Linked DNA regions of Macaca mulatta. The protein of the gene in region 1 interacts with the protein of each later gene in a pairwise test. Links are inferred from orthologs where the notes say so. Each region holds a gene or a part of one and is shown in the gene's direction. Other genes may lie near its edges.

Region 1 (4,599 bases):
GCAGGCAGAGGAGACGTCTTACACACACAGGCTACTGATGCATACGGATGCGTTGCAACCAAGCGTGTTTTGTGTTCATTCTGTTGTGCGGTGGGGTGGGTTATAGGAAGATGCTTTATGATTCATGGTTTAATGAAAAGAATACAAGATAGAAGGGAGTCTGGAATTCTAGCTCCTGCTTTGTCATTAACCAGCTATGAATTCTTCAGCAAGTCACTTTTTAATTTCTCTGAGTCTCAGTTTACTCACCCATAAAATTAGTATCTTTCTTACTTCACAAGCTTTATGTAAAGACCAAAGGAATTACGGGATGATACTGAAATGTTCAAAAAATAAAAAGCAAAAAAGCGTGACTGTGAGGTGCTTGCACTCCATCTTCCATGGCCTTCGTTTGCCAAGCTGAGGCCACCTACACTCCTTTGATAGCTTACTCAGCTCCACCAAGCACGCATTTGTAAACAGAATGTGAGATGCAACATTTGGAGAAAAATACCAGGTAAAATTGAGGTACTGATGGCCGTTCCACCTTGTGTGGCTTTGCAGCTTCACCTCACAGATGTTCTGAGACCACAAGACGGGTGAGAATGAAGGCATCTGGCTGATTTTTCCCAAAACTTCCAAGATGCCCATATGCCCATATCTTCTTGTGGCATCCGCAGGTGCCAGTCCCAGCTGTCCTTTAAGCCTTTTCCTTCTTTCACCGTAAGTGGCTGGAGAGACAGGCTCATGAGTGGCATTGGAGAGGTTACCACTTGCCAGGGTTTTTGTTTTGTTTTTGAGACCGAGTCTTACTCTGTCACCCAGGCTGGAGTGCAGTGGCACGATCTTGGCTCACCGCAACCTTCGTCTCCAGGGTTCAAGCGATTCTCCTGCCTCAGCCTCCTGAGTAGCTGGGATTACAGGTGCACCACCACACCCAGCTAATGTTTTGTATTTTTAGTAGAGATGGGGTTTCGCCATGTTGGCCAGGCTGGTCTTGAACTCCTGACCTCAAGTGATCCACCTGCCTCGGCCTCCCAAAGTCCTGAGATTACAGGCATGAGCCACCGGCCCTGCCAGGCTTCTAAGTAAGGACTCCCCATCAACTTGCCTATTTAACATCATCACCCTCACTTCCTGGATGAGAAAACTGAGGTGCAGAGATCTTTATTATGACCTGCTCCCAGCCACAGGTCTGGTAAGGAGTAGGATTAGGATTCAAGCCCACGTCTCCTTGATGCTGTCTTCAATCCCGACCCCTCCACTGTGCTGCTTCCCTGCTCGCGAAGGTGGCAACGCCACTGAGGTGCCCTGTGCCTTAGATCTCCAGCATCCCTGGGAAGGGCTGAGGGCAACCCCCAAGCTCCAGTTTCACTAATGGGAAAGCCAGGGCCTAAGACACTGGAATGAAAGCGTGTGGCGAGGGTAACGAGTGACTGTGAGGTTTGTAAAGCAGCTTCATGGTGATGTTTAACAAACTGGACGTTTTCTGAATGAGGATCTTGCATCGTCCAGTGGCAGTAGTGAGACTGAAGATGTCTTGCAAGCAGAGAGACCACACTAACTCTCCCACTCGTCCCTGCAGCCCATCACCACGGGAGGGGTCACTTACCGGGAGCAGCCCTGGCACAAGGAGTGCTTTGTGTGCACCGCCTGCAGGAAGCAGCTGTCTGGGCAGCGCTTCACGGCTCGCGATGACTTTGCCTACTGCCTGAACTGCTTCTGTGACTTGTATGCCAAGAAGTGTGCTGGGTGTACCAACCCCATCAGCGGTGAGTGTCCCGGGGTCCCCACTTCGAAGAGGGATTGGAAGCTTGAACAAGGCCTAGCATTTTAGCATGTGACCCTGTCTATATCCCTAAACTTCCCAGACCTCCCTAAGGCTCTGAACACAGACTTTTCTGCCTATCTGCTTTCCTCTCCTTGGTGCACTGGCTATGCTTCAGCAAGTAATGATTACTTCCTCTGCAGCCCACCGGATCACAACCATATGGCCTGTGCTCTGGTTTAGTTTCTGCTTTGGGTTGGATTATCTCTAAAACTGCAGCCTGTGAGCCTGTAACACCACATAAGCACAATAAAAACTGGCCTTTTCAGGCTTAGCAGCTGTACTGTTTTCTTAGAAGTGTCCCCTAGCATCTTAGGGGGACGGTTGTACTCCAAAGCATCTTAGTGGGAAATTTCTGCCACAAGGCCACAGCTATATGAGGGCAGAGGGTACATTCTAAGGAGTTTTTCATATTGTATTCCCCCAAATGATCTGGCAAAGTGAGAGCCCAAAATCTGGCTGGCCGGCAGACCAGGCTTCTGGACTAGACTATTAAGCAGGCTGGAGAAATTCAGTGTGGAGAACAGATGACTTCACACTAAAGTCCTTTAGATGGTCACCACATATCACTACACAAATTAGTGACTGGGTGGGGAGAGAAAAGTGTGTCTTCTATAATAACACAGGAGAAGTTTTATGATGTGGGATTTTCAATCCCACTGCATTCAGTGGAGTGGTTCTTCCCTATCAGAGGAAGGTGGCAGACACATGGAGTACCCGGTGGTCTGGCTTTCCTATGTGGCTTTTCAGTATCATTACAGAAACACATCTATACACCCCCTGTGTTCTTGTCCTTGACTTTCTTTTCCCTCAGGCCTAGAACGAAGTTCACCTAACTGAGCTAAATCACCTTCCCAGGTCACTAAAACAGTTCTCTCACGTATAATGCAGAGCTCATTACATTTCCATGTGAAATTAAAATATGAAGAAAAGCATAGTATTTACAGTTTACCTATGTTAAAATATCTGTTTCTGGTCCTTTATGCACCACATTTCCCTTGGAATCATTTAGGGGGAAAATGCAATCTTTTGCCAAACATATTCATCTTTAATGCTGTTTTCAGCAGTAACTTCTGTTGAGGTAAATGTTTATAACATTAAGCTTTATAAAGTGATACAATCTATATAAAAGCACTTCTAAATGTAAAACGTTAGATATGAATGTGAATTGCGGTTATTGTAGCACTGAGAAAAAACACTAGGTAAAACCAACTGTATTATAATCAGGGACCAATGTACCTTAAATATTTGATTCCATTCTGTCTGTCTGCAGCTTTCTCAGGATCTTCCCGCTGCAACAATATTCCTCTGCCCTCATTCCTACCCACATCGTGCTTTATCTGTGAGGCTTTTCCTGGCCACCCCAGGGAGGATTAACTTTTCCTCTTCTACACTCCCTTCGGTGCTTCAATCATTAAATCACACAAATTTGAGCACCAGGCAACATGAGGCACCTAGTGAAGGCATAAGAGAAATCTGCTTCCTGTTCTCACAGAGTTTCATTTTGTGGGAAAACACATAACAAATACAGTCAGCATTCTTTGACGCACTTATCACATCATTTTGGAACCAGTTTCTATCTCTCTTCTGATATTCACGAGATCCTCCAGGCTGTGCATAGAATCTGATTTATACATGGATTCCCAGCACCCATTCACTAGAAGTTCACACTATCCATATTACACAATCCAAACTTTGAAATGGATCAAACCACAATTCCTTCTTCAGTCCCAGTTGCCTGATTCTAATTTTCTTCATCCGGTATTATTTTCTCTCTGTTAACAGGACTTGGCGGCACAAAATACATCTCCTTTGAGGAACGGCAGTGGCATAACGACTGCTTTAACTGTAAGAAGTGCTCCCTCTCACTGGTGGGGCGTGGCTTCCTCACAGAGAGGGACGATATCCTGTGCCCCGACTGTGGGAAAGACATCTGAAGTCAACATGGAGAAGTTGCTGCTTGTGATCTCACACACAGATTTTTATGTTTTCTTTCTCACCCAGGCAATCTTGCCTTCTGGTTTCTTCCAGCCACATCGAGACTTTCTTCTAGTGCTTTTCAGTGATACTCACGTTTGCTTCAACCCTTTAGTGCTTTGTGCTAGTTCAGTCCCAGGGAAAGAGAAAACTCGCCCTAGGCCCTAGGTGGGAAGATGGTTTGAAATTTTTGTAATCGAGTAAGGCACACCCAAATGTAAAAATCCTTTTGAATGATGTCTTTATAAATCTTTCTCTCACTGCCTATTTAAGTGCAATTAATGTATGCCACGAACTTGAAAGTTTTCTAAACTCAGTAAGGTAATGACCAATTGGTATTTACAGCTCTGTAACTTCCTGTTGTGTCAAGTCTAAACCAAGATTATGTGACTTGCAATAAAGTTATTCAGAACAAAATCTTTTGCCAGGCACAGTGTGTGAAATCATGATTAAAGGTTGAGGCACTGAGTCTAAGTAACACGTCATTGCATGGTCCGATGGTCACTGTATGAAGTGCAGTTCCAATGGCCTGGGGCATTGCCAACTGGAATAGCATCACATCACACCCTTTATTTAAAGGAAGCCTTCAGTCAACACCAGGCACCTCTTCCTTGCTACCTTCTCTCCCAATTTTTTTTTTTTTGAGACAGAGTCTCACTCTGTTACCCAGGCTAAAGTGCGATGGCACAATCTCGGCTCACTGCAACCTCCGCCTCCCGGGTTCAAGCGATTCTCCTGCCTCAGCCTCCTGAGTAGCTGGGATTACAGGTGCCCACCACTATGCCGGGCTAATTTTTGTATTTTTGGTAGAGATG
Region 2 (4,599 bases), on another chromosome or scaffold:
TATTTGTTTTTAACAGTTTAATGGTGAACAATGTCAAACGGTTCAATTCTGTTGTACATTTGTCTTTGGAACCTTCCTGCTAGTCCCCTTCAAGTTTTCATCTTTCCCTAGCTGTGAAATCTTAACCAGGTTCTTTCTTTTCTCTGAGCCTTTCTGTGATTCAGAATAAACTGAACTAGAATTTATATTAAAAGTCTAGCAAAGCAATTTCAAAATAATAATGATTGAGTCTAAAACAGATACCTGCCTCTCTCTCCCTACCCCCATATTAGAAAGAAAAAAAAAAAGATATATATTTGGGGAAAAGATAATACATAGACTAGCTCTGTAAAATAATGTTTTTCATTACCTCTGTTGTTTTATTACTGCATGGGTGGTTGTCTTTTATGACTGGTTCTGTCCTCTTTCCCAACCCCCAGAAGTTCTAGATTTTGTACAGTGTCTTGTTTGAGAGTTCTTTAGAAAGCTTGGATTATGCATAATGGCATATTTTTTATTTTTAACTTATTCAAAAATTCATTATGTTTAAGATTGGTTTGCAAATTGCAACTGTTTTGTTAGGCAGCTTCTGGGGCCTAAAGACAACTGACAGTATATGATAGTCATGGGGTGCTTGTTTTCCTGGATTCCTCTAAGGTCTTACTCTGACAAGGACAGGTTCCTTCCCTTGTTTTCTAAAGCTTGAGTCAGCAGGAGTTATTACTGATATCTGGTCTTCTCCCTTTTTTTTTGCATTGAGTTGCTTTTTAAGGATTGCCTTTCTCCATTGATGCCAATTTAAAATAATTTGTCAAATACTCTTCCAAATTTTGATACAAAGCCTTGAGATCTTATCTAAATGCACTCCATTTTTTTTCTTCTTTTAAGTGTAATTCTTTGATATTTGTACACCAAGCTCTTCTTTCTTAGACACTTTGTTTGTTCGCTGCTATTCATCTTTCTTCTTTTAAAAAGAAAGGGATCGGCCAGACGCAGTGGCTCACGCCTGTAATCCCAGCACTTTGGGAGGCCAAGGCAGGTGGTTCACGAGGTCAGGAGATAGAGACCATCCTAGCTAACACGGTGAAACCCCATCTCTACTAAAAATACAAAAAAATTAGCTGGGCGTGATGGTGGGTGCCTATAGTCCCAGCTACTCGGGAGGCTGAGGCAGGAGAATAGCGTGAACCCAGGAGGTAGAGCTTACAGTGAGCCGAGGTCAAACCATTGCACTCCAGCCTGGGCGACAGAGCGAGACTCTCATAAAATAAATAAACAGATAAATAAATAGGAAGGGATCTTTACCCTCACTCCCTTCATTACTCTTCATTAGCAGTATAAATCTCTAGAAACTCTGTTATTAGAACCTTAGTTTCTATGATATTTGGAAAAGGTACTTTACTGGGTTTATTGTTATCATACAGAGGCACTGATTATAGAAAGTAGGAGATTTAGTGTAGTGGTGGCTGGATTTAATACAATTCACGGAGTCTAATATGGTACTGATTCTAATTAAATGAGACGCAAGAAACTGTGTTTGGAAAATGTGAGACTATTTTGTGTACCTTGGATAAAGGTATACCAGGATGTCAGACTATCACTTTGCAGAGATTACTTCGTATAGTAGAAGCTTGGATTTGGAGTCAAAAAACCTGAAACTGAATCCGAATTACATTATTTGTAACTCATTATTTGTGTGACCTCAGGCACAGTCCTTAATCATTCAAAGCTTGTCTTCTAGTCTGTAGAATAGTGTTAACACCCCATATATATCGTAGAGAAACAAACGAAAAACTATGAAATGTTAGGTACATGTGAAGAGTAAGGGATCATATACCGAATCCCTCTGATACGGGAACCAAGGATGTTTCCTATTGTAGGATTCAAGGCATTTTCTGTCTAACTCAGGAGCACTATGTAAAGATCTGTTTGGTGCAAGAAAAACCATTATTGTAATGATGGGCAGCCATTATAGCCAATCCAATGGAATGATATTTCATTCAGCAACTGTGTGTCTATATTGGGATGTATGTGTGAAAAAAGTAAGACAAAAGCTCCATTTGCATGGGGCTTACATCCTAGTGGGGGCAGGACAATTAATATTAAAAATAAGTAGTATGGATAAAAGAGAAAGGTTAGAGGTATTGAGCTTGGGAACATTAAAAAGGGTAGTTCAAGTAGGCCTCATGAAAAAGGTGACATCTGAACAAAGGCTTGCAGGAGATGAGATAGCTGTGCAGCTTCTGGGGCAGTAATCCAGGAAGAGGTCTTTAGGTAGAAGCACACATGCAGAGAGAGTGGCAAGGAGCCCAGTGTGGCTGGAGAGGAGGAGGTGGGGAAGAGCCATAGGAAATGAAGTCAGAGGGGGAATACATCAGGTGGGGCCTTGGTGGCCTCAGTAAGGACTTTGACCTTTACTCTGAGAGACTGTCTTTGGAGACTTCTCATCAGAGGAAGAATATAATCCGACTTAAATGTTTTGTTTACAGGTGTAAGTGCTTGATAATATTGTATGTTCTAACGTATTCTTTTCTGAAATGAAAATAAAGCACATAGTAGATAACATTTCTACAGATTAAATGGTAACTGCATATTTTTTTTTCCTTCTATTAAATCTAAGGTCAGCTTCCCCTTACCATGGTTTTACCATTGTGAATCGACTAAATATGCACAATCTAGTTGAACCAGTGAATAAAGATTTGGAATTTCAGCTCCATGAACCATTTCTTCTGTATAGAAATGCAAGCTGTGAGTATATCTGTTTTATTATAGTTATTACATTTAAAATCGAGTGACTTTAGTTTCTATCAATCCATTATTTAGTAAGTTTCAAATTACAAAACAAAATATGGCCTATACTTTATGATTATAAATGAGTCTGTTAGAAAGATCAGACGTTTTAAACTGGGCTCTGAGACCAGACGTGGTGGCTCACGCCTGTAATCCCAATACTTTGGGAGACCGAGGAGGGCGGATTACCTGAGGTCAGGAGTTCGAGACCGCCCAGGCCAACATGATGAAACCCCATCTCTACTAAAAATACAGAAAAAAATTAGCCGGACTTGGTGGTGGGCACCTGTAATCACTTGAACCTGGCAGGTAGAGGTTGCAGCGAGCCGAGATCGCGCCATTGCACTCCAGCCTGGGCAACAGAGTGAGACTCTGTCTCAAAAAAATAAATAAATATACTGGGGTCTGAAACTAGAAACATTCTTTTGTATATAATTTTGTTTACTATTTCGTTTACTAGCACTACATTTATGTTGTTGGTTTATTAAAATAAGGTTTATGCCTTTGTTTTTTTGCAGCTGTGGACTATCAGCTGCCCACATCCCTGAGCAACAGAACTTAGTTTGGGACACACAGGATGGGAGCAGATACAGATAATTCTTTCCACAAAGAAAGTATTATTTTTGCCCAGAATAGTGGTGGTGGGGTTTTTTTAAAAGATATTTATTACTTTTTCTACTTTATTTTGTCTGAATATGTTTCTAAGTAGGGTTTTTCTATCTGTTTATTTAATTGAGTGTCTGCTGGTTACCAGCACTGAGCCAAGAGCTATGGTGCTTTAATGTTTGTAACCTATGTGCTATAGGGAGGCAGTTAAGGCAACTAAGACTCAGAGATGCAAAACTATTACTCTGTTGGAGAGTTAGGATTATAACTCTTCTGCTTTTTAGTCCAGGGTTCTTTCAGGCATTTTTACAGCCTCTAATGATAATTGGATGCAGTCAGCAAAGCTAGATTGGCCCTTCCAAGAAACTACAGTACTAAAAAGTGTACTTGATTCCAGTGTGTTGGTATGGATATTGAAGGTATGGGTGTTTGAGGACAGTTTGTTCTACATTGACTATAGGGGGTATCAAAACTGGTTATGGTAATAATTGTGCTCTAATTATCATTTAAGGATATAGTTGGAGAAATGTTGCTTCTAACTTAAAAAGTAAAAGTTAATGTGTTTGAATTTCACTTGGCTGAGAAGTAATTGGTCTTGGGGGATGTCTTCAGTATAAAATAGAAAAAGGTTACTAGAAATTATACACCTCTTAATTCCCTGAATGAGAAGTAACAAGGCCTATTTTAAAGCTAGAAACCCCCAAGTTCTTTTCCGTAGCACACTTTTAAGTATAAGTGAAACAGTTTCTGTCTTTTGACTTCTCAGTAAACTATTTTTCCAGGTAATTACCTCTCAGATTTTAAATTCTGTGGCCATATTAGACATGCTTCGTAATACCTGTAAGTTCAGATGGATTTATTTAAACTAATGTTAACAGCATAATTATTTCAGATTGCTCTTTTCTTTGGACTGAATATTCCATTAAAGGGAAAATTCAGCTGGGTACAGTGGCTCACACCTGTAATCCCAGGACTTTGGGAGACCGAGGCAAGCAGATTGCTTGAGCCCAGAAGTTCGAGACCGGCCTGGGCAACATGTCAAAACCCCATCTCCACAAAAAAACAGAAAAATTAGCCAGGTGTGGTGGCACACACTTGTAGTCCCAGCTACCCAGGAGGTTGAGGTGGGAGAGTCGCTTGAACACAGGAGGTCATTGAGGCTGCAGTGAGCTGTGATCGCGCCACTGCACTCCAGCCTGGGCAACAGAGCAAGACCCTGTCTCA

The links. The genes of interacting proteins can lie anywhere in the genome.
Region 2: the proteins of FHL2 (region 1) and DCP1A interact in binary tests that used the Homo sapiens proteins (3 or more experiments, as listed by UniProt). The two-hybrid records come from large-scale screens. The link is inferred for Macaca mulatta from reciprocal best matches to the Homo sapiens genes FHL2 and DCP1A.

The regions. Positions count from the first base shown.
Region 1 is NC_133418.1:13,464,937-13,469,535, reverse strand, and holds the end of FHL2 (four and a half LIM domains protein 2), read left to right. Parts: intron 1-1,564; coding exon 1,565-1,751; intron 1,752-3,592; coding exon 3,593-3,744; 3' UTR 3,745-4,201; downstream 4,202-4,599. UniProt on the Homo sapiens protein: May function as a molecular transmitter linking various signaling pathways to transcriptional regulation. Negatively regulates the transcriptional repressor E4F1 and may function in cell growth.
Region 2 is NC_133407.1:116,924,083-116,928,681, reverse strand, and holds part of DCP1A (mRNA-decapping enzyme 1A), read left to right. Parts: intron 1-2,538; exon of another isoform or gene 2,539-2,558; coding exon of another isoform or gene 2,559-2,599; coding exon 2,600-2,727; intron 2,728-4,599. UniProt on the Homo sapiens protein: Necessary for the degradation of mRNAs, both in normal mRNA turnover and in nonsense-mediated mRNA decay. Removes the 7-methyl guanine cap structure from mRNA molecules, yielding a 5'-phosphorylated mRNA fragment and 7m-GDP.